Linked DNA regions of Danio rerio. The protein of the gene in region 4 binds, or shares a complex with, the protein of the main gene of each other region. Links are inferred from orthologs where the notes say so. Each region holds a gene or a part of one and is shown on either strand. Other genes may lie near its edges.

Region 1 (5,428 bases), on a different chromosome or scaffold from region 4:
TGAAAAAAATAATTTAACATAAATCAGAGAAAAATATTTGTTATTATTTTTAAGTCATAGCCAATGACATGATTGTGCAGTGGTTAGCACTGTCGCCTTACAGCAAGAAGGTCACCGGTTTAAGCCCCGGCTGGATCAGTTGGCATTTCTGTGTGGCGTTCGCATGTTCTCCCCGTGTTCACATGTGTTTCCTCCTGGTGCTCCGGTGTCCCGCACAGTCCAAAGACATGCTCCATAGGTGAATTGAATAAACTAAATTGGCCGTATTATATGCCTGTAAATGAGTGAGTATGGATGTTTTCCAGTACTGGGTTGCAGTTGGAAGGGCATCCGCTGTGTAAAACATATAAGTTAGCAGTTCATACTCCTATGGCGACCCCTGATGAATAAAGGGACCGAAGCCGAAGGAAAAAGTCATGATCAGGTTTAAAAATGACACTGATTGACACAATTGACACTGTTCTGTGAGGTTTCCTTTGGTTATTCTCAATGCCTCACTTTCATTTAGTTGTTAAATTTTCTTGCCATGATTCTAACGTCTTTAATTCACTGACGATGTATTCACAAAAAAACCTTTGTTTTTTTCAAATAAAGTTTAACATTTTAAAATTTTGCCCCAATTGTGGGCTGTATAGTATATGTAACTTATTTAACTTAGATTTCTTTACATAGCGAAAAAAAATATTATTTTCATAAGTGCTCCCTGCTGTAAAATGTAATGTACTGCCAGCAGTAAAAAAAAGAAAAAAAAACTGCACCTAGACTTTATCTCTGTATGTTTCAATTATTCCGTTTCATTATTCACTTTGAAAAAAACTGAAGAGTTCAGATGCAATATCTTCTTAATACCATCTGAATTTTGTGTAGATTCAGTAATATAACGTTTATGGCAAAGGATAGGCTACATCTTTTTATGGTCTTTAGCCTAAAGTGAAATATCTCAACATAAACAAAGGAGGATGAGAAAAATGTTTTGCATCTGGACAACTTCAACTTCAACTGCTAATGAATAACCTAAACATGCCATCTTTCGGATGAGACGTTAAAACGAGATCCTGACTCTCTGTGGTCATTAAAAATCCCAGGATGTCCTTCAAAAAAGTGTAGGGGTTAAAACCAGGTATCCTGGCCAAAACTCCCCACTGGCTTTAGTCCATCATGGCCTCCTCCCCATCATAATTGGCTTCATCATTCTGTCTCCTTTCCACCAATCAGCTGATGTTTGGTGTGCGGTTTGGACTGGAGCAATATGGCTGCCGTCGCGTCAATGGTATCTGGATGCTGCACACTGGTGGTTGATGAGGAGATTCACCCAAAAATGTGTAAAGCGATTTGAGTGTCCAAAAAAAGCGCTATATAAGCGAGGCAGTGGCGCAGTAGGTAGTGCTGTCGCCTTAAAGCAAGAAGGTCGCTGGGTCGCTGGTTTGAACCTCGGGTCAGTTGGCGTGTCTGTGTGGAGTTTGCACGTTCTCCCTGCCTTCTTGTTGGTTTCCTCCGGGTGCTCTGGTTTCCCCCACAGTCCAAAGACATGTGGTACAGGTGAATTGGGTAGGCTAAATTGTCTGTAGTGTATGAGTGTGTGGGTAAATGTCTGTGTGGATGTTTCCCAGAGATGGGTTGTGGCTGGAAGGGCATCCGCTGCGTAAAAACTTGCTGGATAAGATGGTGGTTCATTTCACTGTGGCGACCCCAGATTAATAAAGGGATAAACCGACAAGAAAATGAATGAATGTTAGTGTAATAACTTTATCATAATTAACTAATTAATCATATTTAAGTCAAGGATGTCATCTTAATATGTGGTTTGCTTATTGCTAAAATCTACATTACATTTTACTTTATCTTTATATTTCTCACTTACAGAGTGTATTTCTCACTTGTTAGATTTTGACAAAAGCACCATCTCAAACTTCAGTGTGTGTTCTCATCATTTTGACAGGCTGCGGTTCTCATGTGTTCCACAGCGGCCCCGTGAGTCTAAAACGTAACACTACATTGCTTATCATGTTCTCAGCGGGTCCAATAGAACTCATTTTCGTGGATGATGGGTGGTAATTACAACACGCTTTCCAATAAGCGCACGTTTTGAACATGACTGACGTTTTGAACATCCAATAAGGTGTCCGCTTTTAACAACGTTGTCCAATCCACGTTCCCTAGAGCGCTCTGCCATGCACCAAATAACAAATCATTTGACAACGCTTGTTTGCGATATGAGAGAACTATGGCTTCCTCCTTGATTAAGTGGTTAAGAGGATTATATGTGTTTTTCTTAACATGTCTCCTGTCTGTCTTTGCCTTTTTGAATCTAGAAGAATTAAACGAAATGAAATATGGCATACAGATTCTCCCCGATCCTGTTATCATGGGACAGGTAGGATTGTGGGATGCAGCTAGCTGGGGATGTTTGTTTGATACAAACAAACAGCTGTTAGCTTTAAGCACAGCATGGCACATTTGCCATTAACAACTACGTGTTTCGGTGTCTAATAGTCGAATATAGGATAGTAAAACAATAGCTAAATTAAAGAATGGTAAATTAGCTGTGACAGGTTATTAGCATAACGTTAGTTGGACTGTGCCTCCACAGGTATGCTACAGATTGTGCCTGATTGTAAATACAATATGACTTTAATATATATGTTGAAAATGAGCATGGTGAAGTTACATTTTTGATTGTGTTGTAAACTGTTGCACCTCTCCCTAGTTCTGCTTTTCTAATTTTGACTTTCTATTCCTGTTTTCAGATGGAAGATGTAATGTTGGTCTCTAACAAATACAAGCAGCTGTATGAGTGTCGTTTACCAGCTCAGGCAGTGCGTTTCCATCAGGACCCGGTGTCAGAGCCTGATGTGCAGGGTTACAGCGGCCCCGGGGTCCCTGAGCTCCTCAAGCCCATGCAGACGGCAGCATGTCTGATTAAGGTAGTTTCTGTCACAGTCACTCGCACACTAAATATACACAAGCTCTGAATATACTCATCCACAGGCACAGATCTAGATAGATATTAGAAGTTGTGTAGTCTGGAGTGGTGGATGAAGCACACAAATTAAAAATAATAATAAAATATGACTCCAATAAAAGTTTGAAAGTGCTTTTGATGTAGTTTAGTCTTAAAATGAACATATTATTACTAAGTACTGGCTGCTGAATGTTTATTTTACAAGAAACATTTTTTTTGATTACTAATATTCTTTTAATGTATATTACGGTGGCAGAGAGAGCTTGATGTGCTGCAGTTTAAGAAAACAAAAGGAATTACAAAAAACCGCCAGTAAATTAAGAAAAATATCTTCATCTATTTGACAGCACACATGGTGCAAATCCCCACAACGCAAACACATTAAAAATGTGCTTCATTTTCACAAAACACAAACGATTTACGAAAACCTGCTGCATTCTCTCTCAACGCAATACATCAGAACACAATGGAAATGTTTCAGGTGGACCCATGAATGTGACAGGCGCTTCTGTGCCATGCCTATTGCTCATTGAAATTGTAGGTGATTGTTGAAAGGTGAGTTCTCTTGGTTTGTTTATTGGAACATCCTGATTCCCTTGTCTTTAGTAGTTATTATCCTAAATAGCCAAAACCTAAATATCCAGGTCTCTCATGATTTAGATCCCCTTGAAACATTTCCGTTGTGTTACGAGGCTATTTGAATGCGTTGTAAGAAAATGCAGCACATTTTATTAATTTGTTTGTGTTGTGAGAATGCAATGTTTTTTTAAAAATGTGTTTCCGTTGTGAGGATTTGCGTCACATGTGCTGTCAAACGGATGAACATCTGTTCCTAATTAATTACCATTTTTTGTAATTGCATGTGCTTTCTTAAAATTGCACCATGTTAAGCTCTCTCGGCCATTATAGTATAATGTTCTATAAAAATTATTTGATAATCATAATGCAAGTGTGCAGCCAATAATAAAATACAGCATATATTCCTGCATATTAAAACAACTATACAAAAATGGTCTAAATTCCCATTTACGCCAACAACGATAACTATTGTATAATCATGAGATATAGTTTTATAAAACTTCTGAAAAAAATTAACATATTGACAGCCAAAGCTCAAGAATTCAAAGCAGAAGCTGACAAAAACTGAAGTGCGTGTTTAAAGTAAACTCCATTAACTAGAATAAATTATATTTTAATTTACAGTTGAGTCAGTCTTAAAGCATCTTCCATTCAGACTTGAGAATTGTCCACTTCAGTTAAAAATAAATGGTTCAGTGCGATTTGCAAATTGAATATAAATAAATATAACACATTTTTTAACAAATATAAGGGTGTAAAAAGTCAAATATTATGCTTTGCAGTTAAGCAAAAGATTCCCATAATAAAATACCCCAATAAAGTGCAGGTACTTAAAGAGTCTCAAAAATAAAAATTTACTCACCCTCGTGTGGTTTCAAACAAAATAAAAACATTGTTAAGAAAGTTTGCAACCAGCAACATCTGACTTTCATGGTAAGAAAACCAAATACTATGGAAATGAATGGTTCCAGCTTTTTTCTAAATATCTTATTTTGTGTTTATCAGAAGAAAGTCAAACATGATTGGAACAAGTGAAGAGTGGGTAATTGATGACAGAATTTTCTGTTTTGTGTAAAAGTTTGTAGTAATAAAGTAAAAACTGTTCTCTCTGATCATATTCTCTCAATCAAAAATGTTGTTTTGAAAAAAAAGCACATTTGGAGTGGCTATGTAGAGTATGTGTAAATTAAGACGTAATAAATGATGTACATTTATAGTCATTTTAGGTCATGTTAAAATGATAAACTACATGTCGCTGTGATCTGAAGCTTGTTCATGTTTTGTTTGCAGACCAAAGACTGGTGGACCTATGAGTTCTGCTACGGCCAGCACATCAGACAATACCACTTAGAAGGCAGGTTAAATCTTTTATCTAATGTGTCTTGGATAAATTGAGTTTTACATGGTCTAAAAAATATATATGCACTGCCTGTATAAACATGTTTTTTATTAGTAGATGGAAAGGAATTTAGAGAATTTAGGACAGAAGCCTTTCAGGAAAATGCACTGCCTATAAATATATACTATTAAATATTTCAAGATGTTTGAAATGTGTTCCCTATATGTGATCGCAGATTCGGAGATCAAGGGAGATGTACTGTTTTTGGGATATTATGATACAGAGTTTGACTGGACGAATGAAACTGCAAAGGTAAGGTCAGGTTTGTTAATCTTGATTTGCTTGTCCTAATAAAATGTCTGTAAATGTTGTCAATTCAAATTAGGAATTCTGATACTAGCAGTAAATATTTTTTATTAACCACTTTTATGTTAACAAGTCTGTAGTTATCTTCTATATATTTTGTAGTTACAAAATTAAAATCTTGTTGATCTTTTTTTTTCAGGCATCTAAGCAGCATAAGCTGAAGAGGTATCACAGTCAGTCAT
Region 2 (5,249 bases), on a different chromosome or scaffold from region 4:
ATGCTGATGTCTAAATCAGCATAGTAAATCTCAGTTTTATGTATTTGCTAAAACTGAATTTAAGTACATAGAGTTTATACAGTTCATTCCTTCTCAGTGCTTCTTGATAAAAAAAGTGTTATGTTTAGGAGTATGTGTCATTAAATTTATGTTGACATACATGTTAAAATGCAGAAAATATTGAGAATAAATCAGTTCATTTTCACTGCAAATTCTAAATCATGTAAAAGACACTGTCGCCATCTAGTGGTAATGAATTTAAACAAAGATGACTAACTTTCTTTTTTGGGGTTGGGGGGTTGTGTAGAGCTTTATTTTGTTGAAAGAATTTCAATCTACTTAAACGAGTCAACAATAAAACTGTAATCGGGATGATACAATATAGAATCTTGGTCAATAAATCAAAAATATAGAGCAGAGAAAACTACATGTGCTTAGCTCGCCATCTTTATAATGAATCCACACGTTATTAACACCCAAAAACATTCTAAAATTGTTAAATGAATGTTTTCTGGGGTTAATAACGTGTGGATTTTTTATTAAGAAGAACATTTAATTTATGTGCTCATTAATAAAACTTTTCTTCAAAACACGAAAATATAGTAGGCCTATTTGTCAACATTATATTTATGTAAATATAAAAAATCAGATAGATAGATAGATAGATAGATAGATAGATAGATAGATAGATAGATAGATAGATAGATAGATAGATAGATAGATAGAATAAAAATAAAGCAGCCTTAAGTCTCCAGCACTACCATTTTTTCTGTAAAAAAATTATTTTACCATTACGTAGGCTATTATAACACTTATTTTATTCAATGCCTTTATTCATTCATTTTCGGCTTAATTACTTTATTCGTAAGGGGTCGCCTAAGCAAAATGAACCACAAACTTATCCAGCATGCCCTTCTAGCTGAAACCCAGTACTGGGAAACACCCATACACTCTCATTCACACAAATACACACGGCCAATTTAGCTTATTTAATTCACCTGTACCGCATGTCTTTGGATTGTGGGGGATATCGGAGCACCCGGAGAAAACTCACGCAAACACTGGGAGAACATGCAAACTCCACACAGAAATGCCAACTGACCCAGAAGAGGCTCGAACGAGCGACCTTCTTGCTGTGAGGAGAACAGTGCTAACCACTAAGCCACCATTTTACCCATATTTATAAATTATTGTAAAAATCTGATAATATAAATAAATAAAGTAATAAGTCACTAGCAGGTTAATTACTTTTTTCTGTAAGTATAAATATTTTACCATTACATCCCTGCTAAAAAAACGCTTAAACTAGCCTAGGCTGGTTGACTGGTTTTAGCTGATTGACCAGTCTGGTTTTAGAGGGGTTTTGGCCATTTCCAGGCTGGTGTCCTGTCATTTTCAGCCTGGTCTTGGTCAGGCTAGAAAATAGGCTGGTTTAAGCTTTTTCAGCAGGGATATAGTATCTACTTTCAATATTTTACTAGCTACAAATAAAAAAATTATTTAAATCGTTTATAGTTATATGACTTCTGTGTTGAATAACCGATTGTTATTAACATGGTAACACTTTACAATAAAGGTTTCATTTAACATAAGTTTAACTACAGCATTAGTTAACATAAACACAGAGAATTTATTTACGGTTAATTTAACATTAAAGTGTTAGTAAACATTTACTAACCGATAGCTTACTGGAACTGAGCTAACAAACTAACAATAATCAATCCGATATGTTTAATTAACCAAAATGAATAAACACGAACAATGTAGCTCATTTCTCTGCTATGAACCTTTTTGTAAACTTTGCAGGCTGCAACATTATTGAATAACACGGGGGTGCACAAATGGCGGGCATTTTTTATTTGAATCTACGTGACCAGTTTGCACAATCGTTTTGCTACAAAAAACTAATTATGAAAATTTAGTTTCATTCGCTTGTCAAAGATATTAAAGTAAAAACACAAAACAACTCCAAGCACGTTGCACCACGGGTACAATGGTATATTCCAGCTTAAATGAGCAGTTGTCATGGCCGTTCTCTGAGAAGATTAGCCTCTTTAGTGAGTGGAAGGAAGTGAAAATAGGATTTATTTAAGAGGTGAACATGGCAAAGAAGAACAGTGCGAAAGAGGCGGACAAAAACGGCGAAGGAGCCAATGACGATGATAAGATGACAACGAACGAGTACTGCGCGCGGCTGCAGCAGTGGATGTGGCGCTACTACAGCGGATATGTGAGCTGGCAGAGCTGGGTGTTGATGTCCGCGCCGCTCTTTCCTCCGCCTCAGTTCGGTTGCCAGGCACCGGGCAGCTCTGCATCCGTGTATCCCACAACGCCGGCGGACATCGCCGCCTGGTACAACCAAATGAGCAGCCCGGGAGCCATCCGTCCAGCAGACACCGCCACATCCAGCACTGGGGACAGAGGGGCAGCACAGCCCGCAGGTAGAGTAACTGTCAGTAACGCAGTCATCTGAGAAGAAAGACTAGTTAGCTTTAAACAAAAATCCTTAAAACACACGTTAATAAAGAACCTAATAAAATTCATTTACATTTTGTGTAAATTGTAGATTTTCCTTCACAGTCTCTATAGTTGTATTCACTTTGGTATTATGTATTTCCTAATTTAAAGGGATAGTTTACCCCAAAATTATAATGCACTCTGTCTTGTCAATGACTACTGACACCTTGAGTGTCAAAAAAACATGCAGAGGCAAAGTAAAACTAATACACGTGGCTCATGATGAAGATACATTGACAACATTTGAAGTGAAATGATATGCAGGAAACTGAACACACTTTATTTGTATATTACAATGCTGTGTTTTTATAACCATTATTCATTTGGTTTTGTAAATGTAAATTAATAGTAAATGTAATTTTTTGTGGTTCGCTCTGAAGATCACAAGTGATTCTATGCCACTTTCCCGCTCAGAATATGGAGCTATTTGTGTCAGTATTATAGTTCTTTAGTAGTGCTATCCAAGATCTGTGAAGAGATGATGATGCACTTCATTGAACATGTACAACAATGACATCACCTACATACTGTGTAACTGCAACTCAACTATGCTTATATATAATAACTTGAACTGTTAAAAGCTATTGCTTACTAGTTAATTAAAGTATTTACTAGCAATTAATACAGTTATGGTAACTAATAACTCAACTTTTCTGATTTTGATTATATTACAATAATTTGCATCTTTTGAAAAGCTGATTTGAAACAATAACTACTGTGAAAAGCGCTATATAAGTAACTTTAATTAAATTCAGTAGTACCTAGTATATTTAAACATTTTAAACAACAATAAAAAAGTCTAAAATGGGCATTTCCCGGCCAGTGTGTTCAATGTGAAATAATTTGATTCAAGAAACTAAAAAGCTTAAAGACTAAAAAGAACAACATTAATTTACATGACACGTACTACTATATGTTTTAATGCAAGAATCAAGTCAAATAAACTAACTTAAGAATGCACAGTTTTTGTGACAGTGAAAATATTAAACGTGCATCCATAGGTAGTCTTTCATAACATGATCTTTTTCCTTTCAGGTAGAGAATACATTATACCCTCTCCTCTACGCAGATTTCTGGCTGAAACTGTCGATTTCTTCATTCTCTTCTGTGTGAAAGCAACCATAGTGTTGTGGATCATGCATCTCTGTGGAATGAAGTGAGTTGAGAATATATATTTAAAAGAAAATACTTTTATTAAGACAGGATTTCAATTAAAATAAAATGCCCAAAAGACCACAGAAAAATCAGTAAGTGCTTTTATTTTTAAGCAACATCTGTTTTTAACATTGATAATGATTAGAAATGTTTATTGAGCACAGGAAAATATATTAAATAATAAACAGTTCTATTAGATTGTAATTATTTATGCATTATTAGGCCTACACCTTTAACATTATTTTGAGCAAATGACACATGGCATTTTAAATATATTGCATAGAGTATTGTATAATGACAGTTCAAATGTCTTCTTTGATCTTCTGAACAGAGATATTTCCAAATTCATAATGCAGTTTATAGTGGAAGAGATTGATGAGAACACGTCATTGGAGGACCTGCAGAAGATGATGGTCGTGGCTTTAGCATACAGAGTACTGGTGTGTGTTTATGAAGTAAGTGAGTCTCCTTGAGATTCTAGCATGTTTTTTTTTTCATCTTGGAAAAACAAAATTACAAACCTTGTATATATTCACAGTACATTTTTGATCAGCATTTTCATCCTTGTACTCTTGTTGCTTAATAACAGTATTTGGAGGGAAAACTCTGTGGTCTAAAGTGATTTGAATAAATTGTAGACATCTTGCCTGCACTCATACAGTCTGTTTTTGTCTTTTTCTGCAGATCATCTGTATTTGGGGAGCTGGAGGTGCCACTCCAGGAAAGTTTCTTTTGGGTCTTCGAGTCGTCTCATGTGACACGACAGTCCTGGTGCAACCGAATCGGGTTTTGGTGGTACCAGCATCCACTGTCAGCTTATCTGCGTGAGTTATGCATATATATATATATATATATATATCATCTTTTGTAAAACGGTTTGGACAGAACTGTGTGTAGGTATAGTTTGTCCACGGTCATATTAAAGTCATAGAAACACAAGAAGCCTCTTTTTTTTAAATTTCCTGATGTTAAAATAGGACCCAAATCCCAGTGATTTTGAGCCCCACTGCAACTTGACGTAAGAATGCGGTTTTCCCCGCCCACTGAATTGATTGACAGGTGCCATGTTTCTATAATAACATATATACACGTCAACAGAACATTTTTTTAAATCACTTCCAACTCTCTGTGATTTCTTTCACAGTTTTATAAGTTTAAAACGTTTGTAAAACAGAGCATGTTTCTAATAAAGAAAGTTAAATCGCTATCTAATTCTTAACTGCTATAACAACCACTTTGCTGACACCACGCATGGTGTCAGCAAATACAAATATATATGTGTGTGTACTGCAATTGGCATTTGTGTGTGACTCATCATTTTCGAAAGGCTTGAATAAACTCCAACACACATACATGAAAAAAGCTTAGTTGATATTTTTGACTGAGCTGTATTTGAGCTTTATCCATGTCTGTCTTTATTACTGACTGCTGTTTATCTGATGTAACGTGAAGCCGACATGCATGTGGGAGCGTTGGGCTGGGAGAAGCAGCTTATTTTTATTTAAAGCCACAGGCTACAAAAACAGCTACACTGTACTCAGACACCAAAATGGACAAATTCTGGAGGCTATATTAAA
Region 3 (5,469 bases), on a different chromosome or scaffold from region 4:
TATGTCTCTCTCACACACACACACACACACACACATTTAGCTGTTGTTCGTGCTGCATACGCGTGTCCGGACAGCAGCTGTAGTGAAGATCAGCTCACTGTCGATCTATACTTGCTTTATCGCCAATGTAAGACACTTATAAGCAAAGATTTACCGTGACTTTACCTGTTTGAGACTCAGAGCCGCTGGTGGTAACCGAGACACCGCCATGTTCTTTCCTCTGCAGGAAAGTGGTGGGAGGGAATTGTTGTGTGAAACTAGAGGGGCGTTTTTCCATTGTCCTACCTGATTGGCTCGATTCAAAGTGACAGCGGTTTAGGGGTGTGGTCGATCATGTTCATTGGAACAACCCATTATTTTGGAAACACCCTCAAATTCAGAAACGCCCACATTTGCTGTGTAGTGCGCTGATAGTGCGCAATAAGGGGAGGAGTTAACCGATCCAGACCTGCGTTTTCTTTTTCATCTTTTGTATCTGACGAAGAGTTAGTCTAGAAGGGATACAGCTGCGGATAATCACGTCAGTATAGCATAATTTTTGTGTGACTGTACAATAATTAATATACGGGTTGTGTTTAGGGTTAGGATAGGGGTAGACGTTAACAAAATACAATTTAATGGGTAATATAATAAATAATATGAATAATGCTAGGTATAATTACAGGTTTAACATTACCGTGATTATTAGGTTTAGTGTTGAAGTAGGGGTAGACGTTAATAAAATAAAATTAACGTATAAATTAATGAATAGAACAAATAATTCTCGCTAACTTCCGTCCGTTGCTGTATCCCTTCTAGCAACAACCGGTTGGTTGCCGAATACCGCCATCTACTTGAAGAATCTAATATGTATTTTCAGTATTTTATAATAATTGTCAGAATTAAATTGCGGAGTTAATTGTAGTAAGTCTATATTTAATACAATTATGTTCGCAGATTTTCATGATGGCTGCCCATTATTTTACTAGTCACTCCAAAATTATTATTGTGTTACATTCTTCGTTCCACATAATTTATTTCACATTTATTATTATAACACTTAAACGGGTTGATCTGATTCTGTTGCATAAGCAGGGTTGACTTTAATTTTTCTTAAATCAAGAAACAGATTAAAGTTTGTTCATCCATTCGTGACTTCACAAAGCTTCTCTTGACAATTTCCCGTTTTATTCCTGCATATTTTATTATTTTTGTTTAGATTCTGTTTTTTCCCCCTTTGTGTTCGCAGGCATACATATCCTGTAACTATAACACGAAATAGCTTTAATGTAAAAATGTAATCTTTAATATTTGTCGGCTCTATGCACAGCTAGTGCCAATGATGAACTTCCTGTGAGATCTTTATGTGACTATTTTCAATTTCATAAGGTTCCTTTTACAGCCTTGATGTTGTAATGTAATTAAAATGCATTCAGTTCAATAGACTAAAGCATTAATTTAGTTGTTAAACCGTAAAAAGAGACGAAAGACAGTTTAAACGCAGGCACCATCATTACCCGCAGGCGAGCGCAGAAACTCCATTGAAAATACTGAGGTAAAATTAATTTCCATATTTTAAAGACATGGCAGGGGGAAATATAACTTAATGCAGTGCTTCTTGCTTGGACTGATACCCACTTTATATCCTATCTTAGCCAGGCAGTGAAGATCACTGATTTTTTTTAAAGAAATCAGATCTTATTTTGTATGGGATGACAATTAACCGGAAGCCCTGAGGCTGGCTGACTGAAAATAAAAGTCCGTGTGCATATACCCCACTAATATTTTTGGACTGATATTGAGTCTAAACCACATAGTGGAAGTATACAAAATCTAATAATGAGAAAATTTATAATAATGAACAATACATACAGCATTTATAACCATAGTTCAACATTTACTAACAATCCCATTCTTTTTAAAAAAAAATAACGTTATCCCTTCTACAAAACATTTCCGCCCCTACTCAATATTTCGTTTTAGTTAAAATATGTTTTTTATATATAATTTTTTATTGCTGTTTAGAAATATAGCAACATTTAAACATTTTACACAGGGCATACGTACAGCTAGTTGGAAGTACGTCAACCCGCATCAACATACTGAAATAAAAGTCTCAGTAACGTCCGGTTCACGGAGACTTTTAAAACATAAAATCATGACGTCAAATCTCACTGTTGTTCTTGTCAGGCGCATCAATAAAGCTTTCCGTTGTAAAATACAAGTTTACTTCCTGTTTTCATTTTTTCTTCATGTGACATCTGAGACATTTCATCTCGAAAGTGTGTAAAAACACACACACACACACCGCGCGCGCTGCCACGTCAGGGTTACAGCTCTAGATAAACACCTGGCAGAGCTCACACAACACACACTCGGCGGATAAACACACACTCACAGGAGCGCAGATCAGCCGAGCGCCGGATTATTGAGCATCATGGAGAGCAAATACAACCTGAAGAGTCCAGGTGAGTCAAACCTCTGATCTCTATCTCTCTCTCTCACACACACACACACACACTGCTGTCGCGAGCTATAAACCACACCATAACATCTGCACTCATCCATCCGTCCAGCCGGTCTTTTCACTGTGTCGAGCTAGCTAACGGTAGACTTACGTTACTAGCCGCAGTCACAGGTGTGTGTGCGTGTGTGTGTGTGTGTAATGAATATTAGTTTGTAATAAATGATTGATTGTGTGCGTGTTTGTAATTTATGTGTGTTTTTAATGTGTGTCTTTGTAGTGTGTTTGTGTGTGTGTCTTTTTATTTTGTGTGCTAGTAGTGTGTGTGTGTGTGTGTGTGTGTGTGTGTGTGTGTGTGTTTGTAGTGTATGCTTGTCATTTTGATGCATGTGTCTTTTCCGTGTGTGTGTGTGTTTGTGTCTTTTTCATGTGTGTGAGTGTGTGTGTTTGTAGTGTGTGTGTGTGTGTGTGTGTGTGTGTCTTTGTAATGTGTGTGTATGTAATGCATTTGTATGTGTAGTGTGTGTGTGTGTGTGTTTAAATGAGTGTATGTATTGAGTGAGTGTGTTTGTGTGTGTCTTTATAATGTGTGTCTGAGTGTAATGTGTGTGTGTGTGTGTGTTTAAATGAGTGCTTGTAATGATTGGGTGTGTTTGTAATGGGGTTGTGTTTAATGAATGTGTGTGTGCGTGTGTGTCTTTGTAATGTGTGTCTTTGTAATGTGTGTCTGAGTGTATATAATGTGTGTGTGTGTGTGTGTGTTTAATAAATGTGTGTGTTTGTAGTTAACTATTTATGTGCTGTAGGTAAATGGTGTGTTTCAATTCTGCCACCACCGCAAGTAAATTTCCAACCTGTGTTGAGCATTGCATTCAGATGCACTCATCCACCATTACATGGACTACAAGTTCCAGTCATGCACCACACACACACACCTGCTCAAAGTCTGAAGCTGCTCTTGTACTGATTATACCACACACACGTCTGTCTCGCCTTGACACGTTCACTCTCATGGCTGAGTCTTGTTATGCTGAATTGGGAACATCACGACGTGGTTTCCTTGCCTTCCGTGTCTGACCTTTGCTTTGTTTTGTTTGTTTTACGTTGTTTGCTGCCTGCCTTTTGACCATCCGCCTGTTATATGAGCATGACTCTGGATCTGCCTGTATACATCTGTTTGCCCTTGTGTTGATCGTTGCTTGCCTGACCATTCTCTGTTCAATAAACCCTGCTTTTGTTAAACTAGGCAAATTTTCAAATTTAGTAAACTAATAATACTGTGTGTGTGTGTGTGTGTGTGTGTGTGTGTGTGTGTGTGTGTGTGTGTGTGTGTGTGTGTGTGTGTGTTAGCTGTGAAGAGGCTGATGAAGGAGGCGGCAGAGCTTCGTGACCCCACAGAACATTATCACGCTCAGCCACTGGAGGTGAGACTTTATTATTTATAGGAATTGAATTTCTGGGAGTTTCTTCATGCGTTATCATCTGTTTTAGTGTGTAACTTTATGTGAAACGTGTGTTTTCTGTAGCGCTGTTTGTGTCTTGCTTGTTTGACGTTTTAATAACAGAAGTTACAGAATGTTTAATTCTGTAAATGTTCAGAAGAAACAATGAATATTAGACTGACAATTAGTATTATTCATTGTTGTTCGTATTATAAATGTTAAACGTTTTAAATGCATCTTGTTATTTAAATGGAGTTATTTATATTTAATTTATTAAATTGTTCATAAATTTGAATTGATCCGAATTTGAAGTCAATCAAGTTGATCAATTCTATTGAAATAATTATGATTTATCGTGTAACTATGAACTGTCAAGAACTGTTAAAATGCTAAAACATTGAATATTCGACTATGAAAATTAGTATTATTTTTTGCGATTATTATGTTTGATGTTGAATATTATAAACGTAACTAGTTGTTATGTAAATGTAAACAGTTATTAGTTATATTTAATTGACTGAATTGTTACATCAATTTTTTTATAATTATTATGATCTTTTAAAAGTTTGATGTCAATCAAAAATCTGAAGTTGATAATAAATTATATTTAATTAGGATTCATTTTGTAACTTCTATTATTAAAACGCTAAATCAGTCAACATTAAACTATAAAAATGTGTATTTGTTGTGTTATTAAATGTAAGTTTTTAATGCACAAAATGCAGTTAAAATGCAAAACAACAGTTGTAATTTATATTTTATTCATTAACTTGTTACATAAATACTTTTATCATTTTATATAATTCATTATTCAAATAGACTTTAATTATTTCAAGATATTAAAAGCATTTTATTATTTTTTAAATAGCTTGATTATTCTTCAGACTTTTGAAGTGTACTGAATCTGGCTGAACCAGAAGTTGCTGAGACTTCAGTATGTTGATGTGCTTCCAACTGAAACGGAATATTGAGTAGGGGGTGGGGCTTTCCTTTTGTGCATCATTTCCTTGTAGCAAACTAACAGTAAGAGGGGCGTGGTTAGGAACATTAATATGCAGTTGCTATAGCAACCCTCAGGTTGGCATCAACAGAAAGACAACCACTCCAAACACAGAAGCAGATGCTCAGAGTTTGATTGAAGATTACCAAAACAAACCTTTTTTTTTTTACTCAAACTTTTAACTTACACTGATTAATTATTCAATTTAAAGAGACAATATGAGCTAGCAAGATAAACATTGTACTCCTTTTGATTTCACACAGATTTCAAATAAGGTTTTTGTCATTTTGAGGAACATCCATAAACGATTTGTGAGCATTTATTGCCTATGCATGGAGAGCTTGTTTTATCTGCATGAAGATTCAGATTAGATTATTACTCTGTGTGTGATCATCCATGTTGAAGTCAAGCTTGCATGCAGTAATTGCAGTGTTATTATACTCAGTGTGACTGTCTTGTGTTGATCAGGATAACCTGTTCGAGTGGCACTTCTCCGTTCGAGGACCTCCAGACTCTGATTTCGATGGAGGAGTTTATCACGGCCGGATCGTTCTTCCTCCTGAATACCCCATGAAGCCCCCCAG
Region 4 (3,915 bases):
TATTATTTTTAAATAATTTGTTTTTAAAACTATTTAAAAAAATATTCATTTATATATTTATTTCTTTGCCATTTTTTTACATTATTGTTTTGTTTTTTATTATTTTTTTTATTTATACAATGATGGCCATGTTATTTTACTTTTGATTGTTTGATTTCTGTACTTAAATACTCCCCATAAAACCCATTTAGCAGTTTATTTAGCTTTTAATTTATTATAATTTTTGTAGCTCCACTGCATAAATAAAAAATAAGATCATTCCAGTCGACTTAAATTGATGTAATCTTTCCAAATAGAGGTATTTAAATCACCTAATAAAATGATATATATACTAAATATAAATTGCAGAAAACAAAATATCACAATGTCAGATTTTACCAATATTGTCCATCTTTGGTGTGTGGTATCTATGTGTGTGTATGTATGTATGCATGTATATTGTTCTGTGATTTATATTTTGCAATATGAATATAGTTTCATTAGATAACTTTAGAAAGATTACAGGGATTTAGATTGACAGGAATGATCAAGTTTTTTTCTATGTGGTGGATCTACATAACTTATAATAAATTACAAGCCAAATAAACAGTGATTTTTATAGTTTTTTGGAAAGTGTAACAGTATTCAAGTGAAGAAATTAAACAATCAAATGTAAGAAAACGGTCATCGTTGTATAGATGATAATAAATATATATATTTATATATATTTTTTTTTATAATCCTAAAAGATTGTAGCTTGTTAGACTGCATAAAAATGGTCAACTTCATGTCAAAGTGTTGGATCTCAGTTGTCATACTGAATGACAATAAATATGAGTTTTATTCACCATGTGTGCGTAAAACAAGGTATTCTGGGTACATACATATCAACACAAGAACACAGAATGACATTTAAATAAGTGGATTAAACAAGTGGAAGATAGATAGATAGATAGATAGATAGATAGATAGATAGATAGATAGATAGATAGATAGATAGATAGATAGATAGATAGATAGATAGATAGATAGATAGATAAGGTTTGTGCAATATGTGCATTGTTGACTTTCTTTTTTTTTAACTGTACAAATAAGAAATAAAAATATTTATATGAAAGTATTTACAATTAAGTGGCTTTATAGGTTACAAAAACCATAAACAGTTGCGTCATGTATGTTTGTGAGCATAAGAAAACTGGTAGCAAATGATTTGCAAACTATTTAAGTTGGAGAGGATTTAAGTTGGCCTGAGGAAAAATATTACAAAGGAAAGGAAAAGTAAAGACACAGTTGCACAAGAAAACTAACCTGGAGTTTAGTGTCATCCCTCAGTGATGAATTCATTGACCCACATTCTGAAATGATACCTCACAGTTAACATGAGCGGTGATTTTGCTCTGAGCATGCCTCAATAAGAAAACAAGGAAAAAGTATTTTTATTTGCAGTGTTTTTAAGTTCTTGCACTGACTGCATCATCTTCATCATTCTATTGATTCTTCAACTGACGCTTGTCATAGCAGAAGTCAGTGTAAATGTGTGTGGCTTATCCTTATTCTTACATCCTTTTTTAAAGGTGGCGCCACCTGCTGAAGTGGAGGATGTTGGTGTTGTTGACCCCGCGATGACAGCAGTGCCTGTTCCCCAAGTCAGAGCACCCATCCTATGGACTGCCTGGGTGTTTTTTAAAGCCTTTTTTGCTTCTCTGATACCTGAGCCTCCACAGGGTATTGCAAACTGATCCAGAAGCAGTCAGACAGAAATGACAAAAACTGAACTATCAAGCTCTTAGGACAGGACATTATAAACAAAGGCTACAAATCCTAGAAGTGGTAGCACTTTCCAGTTCTTTTGGCTGTGTGACCTATGGCTGCACATTCTAAACAAACAAGTGCTTGGACATGGAGTTGTAAATATCGCTGGACAGTTTTTGCACAGCACTTTAGATAACCGCAACGGCTGGAATCGATAGTGTCGGTTGCCTGACCTGATCCTCTTATGTAGGCTTCTGTCACCAAGACTTCATTTTTTTGAAGTGCTCCTCGATGAGTGTCCAAGGATTAAACTCATGGGATTATCTTATTAAGGTTCTAGTATGATGGACGACGAAGGCCACATATTGATTTTGTTCTAAGCGCATGAAAAGATGGAAAGTGCTTGGGAAAATGCATTTGTGGTACTTTGAAGCTAATGGCGTTTATGCAAGTAAAGTATGCCTACATGTTCTCTTTTTTAATTGTGCTCGACCTGTGAAATGAGTAATGTTAATATTTATGAGGGACGCGTTCAAGTATTGTGAGTGGAATTTGCAATTCAATGAGGAGAGTTTGTTGGTGACCTCGGGATGAGCAGAAGGTGAATGAACCACACTTTGAATATCGCATCTTCATGACATGATGGAACTGCACTTTGGGACCTGCAAAAGAGGAGAACAAAATATAACTAATAATATATATGAAAAATTCAAATGACTGATTTGTAATCTGATATTTATCAACACTGTAGCATTGCTGTCATTTCAGATTATGTATAATCAAGCTTTGTTATTAACATCATGAAAGTAAGCCTCTTTGTACCAGAAAATGAAAACAATAAACACAATTTCCTCATTTCAGTTTCACTTTGAAGCTCTTTGAATAGTGTCATAGAAATGTAACAGGGTTTTGATTTTATTTGTATCACTTTTTCTTGTGTAGTTTTTTTTTAATTTTAAACATCTATCTGAAAGTTCTGAATCTGAAAGCTGTTTTTTCCCAAGTTTGAGTTCATCATTTAAAAATGTAATGTAAATACTTTGATCTTACTATAGTTTGTATTTCTCCTAGGTCAGATACATGCATTATGCAGCTAGTTCATCCAGTTGGTGGCTTGTGTACATGTATTACCCATATGTGCTGTTGCATGTTTTATAGCCTCTCTGGGGTGATTTTTGAGTTTTAATTTAATTTAACTGTTTCTGTTTCAGCTAGCTGAATGATTTTTGGTGACATTATATTTTGACACTTATTTTAAAACTCAATGGTGCACTATGACAAGGTTTCCTACCCTTTTGTTATGTTCGGGATGAAAATACCACTAAACTAAACTGCTGTAAAAATGCATCCGATAAATCTGTTATTCAGCTTCAATCTTGATCAAAAATACTACATTTCTTAGAAAATTTCAGGATTTTAACTCTTTAGTTACTGATTTGGTGAACAAACACAAAATGATGGATTTTCTTTATAGAAAGTAGTTGTGGACTGGATTTTCTATTACATTTGATCAAACTCTTGAATGTGAAACAACATTCCCTTTGATGCATTGTTTTTGATTCCCATTTGATTTTGATTTTTACCATTGATCATTAGTTTGCAACATTAACCCTTTAGATAGGCCTGTGCAAAAAAAGCCTAGTTTCTGGCTTTTATATGGAATATAACAGCAGATTAAATTGTGTGTCTGTGAGAGTGAACTTTGCGCACTTGCCTTGACTGAGTGTCTGATAAAATCAAAATATGCATCTCAGCTCTCAGAACTACAATGACTAAATAAAAACAAAGACTGTGTGTGTATTTATGCACCATCAAATGTGGTTATATTGGAAGTCAATGTAGCAAAAACAGTCACCAAAAAGTAAGTAAATTAATCTAACAATGTGTCAAAGCCAATGTTGGTACTGATCTTTCACATGTCCAAGACTGTGTTTTAAAATTTTTGTTTTAAAGAAACAGTCCACAATTACTTTTTACCTTAAAAATACATCTTTTTTCACCAAATCAGTGACATCATTTATAAATTTGGCAATTAAAGAGTAAAATAATGTTTTTAAAAATATATATTTAGTAGTTTTGCTCAAGACTGAGGTTGATTAACAGATTTATGCAAAAAATTATTAATCTGATGCATTTTTTAACAGCAGTTTAATTCAGTGGATGTTTTCATCCTGATCATAACAA

What was found.
Region 1: herpud1 (region 4) and os9 share a complex: the UniProt entries of both Homo sapiens proteins name them as parts of the HRD1 complex. The link is inferred for Danio rerio from reciprocal best matches to the Homo sapiens genes HERPUD1 and OS9.
Region 2: herpud1 (region 4) and fam8a1a share a complex: the UniProt entries of both Homo sapiens proteins name them as parts of the HRD1 complex. The link is inferred for Danio rerio from reciprocal best matches to the Homo sapiens genes HERPUD1 and FAM8A1.
Region 3: herpud1 (region 4) and ube2j1 share a complex: the UniProt entries of both Homo sapiens proteins name them as parts of the HRD1 complex. The link is inferred for Danio rerio from reciprocal best matches to the Homo sapiens genes HERPUD1 and UBE2J1.

What each region holds. Positions count from the first base shown.
Region 1 is NC_133181.1:41,765,196-41,770,623, reverse strand, and holds the start of os9 (protein OS-9), read left to right. Parts: upstream 1-2,194; 5' UTR 2,195-2,224; coding exon 2,225-2,374; exon of another isoform or gene 2,375-2,747; coding exon 2,748-2,924; exon of another isoform or gene 2,925-2,948; intron 2,949-4,831; coding exon 4,832-4,895; intron 4,896-5,115; coding exon 5,116-5,192; intron 5,193-5,385; coding exon 5,386-5,428. UniProt on the Homo sapiens protein: Lectin component of the HRD1 complex, which functions in endoplasmic reticulum (ER) quality control and ER-associated degradation (ERAD).
Region 2 is NC_133194.1:34,653,695-34,658,943, forward strand, and holds the start of fam8a1a (protein FAM8A1), read left to right. Parts: upstream 1-2,015; 5' UTR 2,016-2,101; coding exon 2,102-2,441; intron 2,442-3,552; coding exon 3,553-3,673; intron 3,674-4,003; coding exon 4,004-4,127; intron 4,128-4,356; coding exon 4,357-4,496; intron 4,497-5,249. UniProt on the Homo sapiens protein: Plays a role in the assembly of the HRD1 complex, a complex involved in the ubiquitin-proteasome-dependent process of ER-associated degradation (ERAD).
Region 3 is NC_133195.1:1,234,632-1,240,100, reverse strand, and holds the start of ube2j1 (ubiquitin-conjugating enzyme E2 J1), read left to right. Parts: upstream 1-2,235; 5' UTR 2,236-2,416; coding exon 2,417-2,447; intron 2,448-3,793; coding exon 3,794-3,867; intron 3,868-5,353; coding exon 5,354-5,469. Other genes in the region: lyrm2 (LYR motif-containing protein 2), read right to left, coding at 166-210. UniProt on the Homo sapiens protein: Catalyzes the covalent attachment of ubiquitin to other proteins. Functions in the selective degradation of misfolded membrane proteins from the endoplasmic reticulum (ERAD) and is essential for cells to recover from ER stress.
Region 4 is NC_133193.1:18,990,909-18,994,823, forward strand, and holds the end of herpud1 (homocysteine-responsive endoplasmic reticulum-resident ubiquitin-like domain member 1 protein), read left to right. Parts: intron 1-1,553; coding exon 1,554-1,718; 3' UTR 1,719-2,586; downstream 2,587-3,915. UniProt on the Homo sapiens protein: Component of the endoplasmic reticulum quality control (ERQC) system also called ER-associated degradation (ERAD) involved in ubiquitin-dependent degradation of misfolded endoplasmic reticulum proteins.